Xenopus tropicalis: one gene and its partner. The protein of the gene in region 2 binds, or shares a complex with, the protein of the main gene of each other region. Links are inferred from orthologs where the notes say so. Each region holds a gene or a part of one and is shown on either strand. Other genes may lie near its edges. The genes, in order: triap1 and prelid1.

The links.
Region 1: the proteins of prelid1 (region 2) and triap1 are in contact, whole or in part, in a crystal structure (PDB 6I3V), measured with the Homo sapiens proteins. The link is inferred for Xenopus tropicalis from reciprocal best matches to the Homo sapiens genes PRELID1 and TRIAP1. Residues at the interface, in NP_037369.1 of Homo sapiens: Trp15, Asp16, Phe19, Ala20, Trp23, Gln24, Tyr26, Pro27, Val34, Leu35, Thr36, Glu37, Asp38, Ile39, Val40, His41, Arg42, Val44, Gln48, Lys49, Leu50, Leu51, Ser52, Arg53, Leu55, Thr57, Tyr79, Leu81, Asp83, Ser84; in NP_057483.1 of Homo sapiens: Met1, Asn2, Ser3, Val4, Lys12, Tyr15, Asp16, Phe19, Asn20, Trp22, Phe23, Phe27, Leu28, Gly30, Asp31, Ser32, Phe41, Tyr44, Gln45, Val48, Gln49, Ile52, Ile57, Pro58, Ile59, Leu62, Glu63, Phe64, Met65, Gly66.

Annotation. Positions count from the first base shown.
Region 1 is NC_030677.2:151,738,114-151,740,180, forward strand, and holds triap1 (TP53-regulated inhibitor of apoptosis 1), read right to left. Parts: upstream 1,082-2,067; 5' UTR 1,035-1,081; coding exon 888-1,034; intron 811-887; coding exon 721-810; 3' UTR 649-720; downstream 1-648. Other genes in the region: gatc (glutamyl-tRNA(Gln) amidotransferase subunit C, mitochondrial), read left to right, coding at 1,288-1,359, 1,541-1,588, 1,780-1,949. UniProt on the Homo sapiens protein: Involved in the modulation of the mitochondrial apoptotic pathway by ensuring the accumulation of cardiolipin (CL) in mitochondrial membranes.
Region 2 is NC_030679.2:46,173,146-46,176,277, forward strand, and holds the end of prelid1 (PRELI domain-containing protein 1, mitochondrial), read right to left. Parts: intron 1,246-3,132; coding exon 1,167-1,245; intron 1,020-1,166; coding exon 880-1,019; 3' UTR 651-879; downstream 1-650. UniProt on the Homo sapiens protein: Involved in the modulation of the mitochondrial apoptotic pathway by ensuring the accumulation of cardiolipin (CL) in mitochondrial membranes.

The DNA of each region.
Region 1 (2,067 bases), on a different chromosome or scaffold from region 2:
ACAGTCTCTGATGTAGTTCTCATATAGATATCATAGGATTAAGTAGGGATCTGAATATTTTCTGATAAATGCCAGTCTATATAGTGTTATATACGAGTATCAAAAAACTTGGTCCAGCAAATCTATACAAGTAATTCCACTATGGTAGGTTTACAAACATACTCCATGGACTCCTTAAGTATATGAAGAATACTCATACTCTTATTGCTCTCAGCACAAATATACATGTTAATCTATGACCTACAAAGGCCAACCATATGATATAGAATAAAATTGCAATGAGGCTGAAAACAGCAACAGGAATAGCAAAAATGAGTTAAAAATACAGTGAAAGAGTAGAATCCGAGGTTGATTTGTTTTGCTAAGGGGGGGCACATAAGGGATATCTTCTGGTTGGACACCCCACTGTACACTGTTTTGCTGCAGTCTGTATTTCTAGTTCAGCGCTGCACCTCGAGATTTAGCAATAAAACCCCTTTACACACCAAGCTTCCCCCTGGCCGGAAATGTGAAGATCAATTTTTACTAATTAATCCCCTGAAGACACCATGTGCTTAACCTTAACCCCCTAAACACACAAATATATATGTATGAAGACAGCAAATACTCGCCGTACAAACTGATTGTTACTTTGTTATTTATTATAAAAGTATTTTTCATTTCTAGGCGTGCAGGGGATATGACGTTATGGGCCCACTCTCTTCCGGGGCCCGCGTTGGGTCAGGAGGAGCCGTCGGATTCTGTTTTTGATTTACTAGGCCCCATAAAGTCCACTCCGTCCACCGGGATGTCCTTGTCCTTAATGGCTTTCTGAATAAAGGAAAGGGTATTAGTGCGCTGCTATAAAATGCCCATGTTATTATCACTATACAGAGTGCATTACCCACCTGAACACAATCTCTATACCGCCTGAAGAGCTCGGTGCACGGATCGCCACTACATTCTCCCTTTAAAAATTTCTCCGCAAACCAGCGGTTGAAGCACTGGTCATACTCCCGCTTCATATCCGTGCATTCCTCACCCACGCTGTTCATGCTGCCCGCAACAAACTCCTGACGAACACAGGTATTTCTTCACCTCGCAAATCTTTCTACGGAGAGCGAGATGCCGCGGCAGCCATCTTGTCCTAGGGCAGAGTCGCGACTGTCATCTTACAACACAAGCACGTCTATTGGCTGAAACCTTTTTTTTTTTTTATAAATGGCCGCCATCACCTCTTCATCAAGGTTACTGGAGAAACGCACGGTGGTGGTTCTAATATGACGTCATATTAAAGAGCCGCGCAAAATGTGGTTCCGAGCGCCGCTCTGCACCGCTTGGATTTCTGGTTTCCGACGTTCGTTGTCGGCGCAGAGTAAGGTATCATTTAGCTTATAATGACACTGCGCGTCAAGGTTTAGTCTAACGAATATCCTTGTACGACGCTGAAGTCGGGATTCTTATGTAGATATACCAGCTCACGGGCTTCCAGCTATTGCTGGACTACAAACTAGTAGAAACCGCTGTTGGGGATTAAGATGTCGCTATTTTCAATTTATAGGTACCGCCTAAACCAACATGGGACCTTCAACCCGAGATCAGAAACCAGGTGCGCACTCATATGCATGATTATAATTTAGTGCATAACTTAATTATGTATTACGGTTTCTCTATGCGCCCCCTACTGTTCATGTGTGCTCTATTCCCAGGTCATGTTAATCAAGAAAAGTATATAAATGTAAAACTACCTCTAAAGACAGACTATATATCACGTACATAATACATTTTACCAATTTTCAGAAACCCCTGATTAGCCTAGACACAATTGACCATCTTGAGCGGCTAGCATTAGTGGATTTCGGAAACGTAGAAGGCGTGCAGCGGCTTGAGAAGGCCATACAGTTTGCTGATCAGCTGCACAATGTCAACACAGAGGGAGTGGAACCTTTATCATCTGTGTTAGAAGACAGGTAATGTAATCTATATCTTCAACCATATCTCCCAATGATAAGTCTAAAACAACTGGACTTGCAAAGTAATCTTGAACATTTCACTACCTAGTAGTAAACTGTTTTAAGATTATTCAGC
Region 2 (3,132 bases):
TCTAGCAGTATTGGTGCTTGACATTGTAGTACTGGGGTCTTGAGTACATTTCAGATCAGGGCACTGTCTGTGGTGGAGGTTGTGGGTTCTCCCCCTATTTGTAGGGGGGCAACATGGGCTGATAAAAGCTGCAATCAGCTTATTGTCACGTGTATAACCCAATACCTGGCTAAAAGTTGGGCAGATCAGGGTGAGGAAGCACATCATCTTGTTTATGTGGTCCTCGCCCCGATAGCCCATCAATGTGATCCAATTGTTGGCTTGTGGACCAAATGATCAAGCTGATAACGCCCATCTTGGGTGGACATATCGGGAAAAAGATCTGCTCGTTTGCTGAACTCCACAAACAACCAGATCTTTTAGTGTATGGTTAGCTTGGGTTTGATCCGGGCTCTTTTTTTTTTTTTCCTTCAACCATTCAAACCACACTGCTTGGTTAGGCAACCCTATTGTATGTTTGAATTATGACAATTAAATGTGGCGACTGACGGGTATGAAGAAAACTCCAACAGGGTGAAGAAAATATCAGAGCTATTTAAAGAGAAATAAAACAAGGTAGTTACCTTTACAAAACCCAGTCTTTTATGTGATCCCAAGCCTGTATATGTGAGGGTGCAAGCAAGCAAAAAACTTCCAGGCATTGTAATTAGATAATTATTTAATCATAACTTAAAGCATAGAAAAGAGTAATTTGTGATTCATTGTATTCACATTTCAGATTTTTTTTTTTTCTGGATTTGAAAGGAACTAGAGGAAAGAAATATGATTTCAAAAGATGCTAGTTTGATGGACATTGGTTCAGGTGATAGATGAACCCAGCAGTATTGCCAGCTTCTGGTGCCTGAAACTGAGTGGCCCATGGTCTTGGCCAACAAACCCTTAAACATATTGCTGCTTCTTTGTTGTAGCTGCCTTGCTGGCCAAGTCTTTGGCTTTCTCCTTTGCTGCCAGTGCAGTCTCCTTTGCCTTTTCTGTTGCTTCTTTTGCTGTTTCAACAAGGGTCCTATGAGGCACATCACCTAAGATGGTGCAGTAAATAAATCAGTTATTCTTGAATCAACTATTCATAAACTATCTGCAGAGAGACAAAGGCTACTGGGTAAGAGATAACTACGCAGTAGCAATAGTCTGGGTATCTTTAAACTTCTTTATATTTATCCACCTACCTTGCATTTTTCCCAGAATAAATTCAAAGCCCTTCATTGCCTTGGTCACATTACTTTTAAAACGAGCGAGACCAAACTCCTTAAAAAACAAAACAGAAAAAAGAATTGTTACAACCTTTCAGGACCATACTATAGCAAAAAAAAAATAAATAAAAAAAAATTATATTTTACAGTCATGGCCAAAATTGTTGGCACCCCAGAAAATCAAGTATTTCTCACAGAAAAGTATTGCAGTAACACATGTTTTGCTATACACATGTTTATTCCCTTTGTGTGTATTGGAATAGAACAAAAAAGGGAGGAAAAAAAGCAAATTGGACATAATGTCACACAAAACTCCAAAAATGGGCCAGACAAAATTATTGGCACCCTTAACTTAATATTTGGTTGCACACCCTTTGGAAATAATAACTGAAATCAGTCGCTTCCTATAACCATCAATAAGCTTCTTACACCTCTCACTGGGAATTTTGGACCATTCTTCCTTTGCAAACTGCTCCAGGTATCTCTTATTTTCCCAACATCAATTTTAAGATCTCTCCACAGATGTTCAATGGGATTTAGATCTGGACTCATTGCTGGCCACTTCATAACTCTCCAGCGCTTTGTTGCCATCCATTTCTGGGTGCTTTTTGACGTATGTTTGGGGTCATTGTCCTGCTGGAAGTCCCAAGATCTCGGACGCAAACACAGCTTTCTGACACTGGGCTCTACAGTGCGACCCAAAATCATTTGGTAATCCTCAGATTTCATGATGCCATGCACACATTCAAGGCACCCAGTGCCAGAGGCAGAAAGACAACCCCAAAACATAATTGAACCTCCACCATATTTCACTGTAGGTACTGTGTTCTTTTCATTGTAGGCCTCATTCTGTTTTTGGTAAACAGTAGAATGATGTGCTTTACCAAAAAGCTCTATCTTGGTCTCATCTGTCCACAAGATGTTTTCCCAGAAGGATTGTGGCTTACTCAAGTACATTTTGGCAAACTGTAGTCTTGCTTTTTTATGCCTCTGTGTCAGCAGTGGGGTCCTCCTGGGTCTCCTGCCATAGCATTTCATTTAAATGACGGATAGTTCGCTGTGACACTGATGCTCCCTGAGCCTGCAGGACAGCTTGAATTTCTTTGGAACTTGTTTGGGGCTACTTATCCACCATCCGGACTATCCTGCGTTGCAACCTTTCATCAATTTTTCTCTTCCGTCCACGCCCTGGAAGATTAGCTACAGTGCCATGCGTTGCAAACTTCTTGATAATGTCGCGCACTGTGGACAAAGGCAAATCTAGATCTCTGGAGATGGACTTGTAACCTTGAGATTGTTGATATTTTTCCACAATTTTGGTTCTCAAGTCAAGACAGTTCTCTTCTCCTCTTTCTGTTGTCCATGCTTAGTGTGGCACACACAGACACACAATGCAAAGACTAAGTGAACTTCTCTCCTTTTTATCTGCTTTTAGGTGTGATTTTTATATTGCCCACACCTGTTACTTGCCCCAGGTGAGTTTAACATGTTTGAAACAATCTTATTTATCCACAATTTTGAAAAGGTGCCAATAATTTTGTCCAGCCCATTTTTGGAGTTTTGTGTGACATTATGTCCCATTTGCTTTTTTTCCTCCCTTTTTTTGTCCTGTTTTAAGCAGCCCTAAGCCATAAGACTAATAATAGGTACATATCTTTCTTATGGGCTTTAGTTGCAAATTTTGTGAAAAATAAACTTATTGCAGTATTCATCCACCACCCTTCCATCCTATTTACTGCTTAAAAAACAAGCTCCCTTGTATAAATATTATTATTATTAACATTTATTTATAAAGCGCCAACATATTCCGCAGCGCTGTACAATAAGTGGGTTTCATACATTGCTTTATATGTTACTCTGTATGTCCAATCAATAACCGATACAAGAGGTGAAGAGAGCCTTGCCCAAAAGAGCTTACAATCTACAAGGAGAAAGGTGTGGG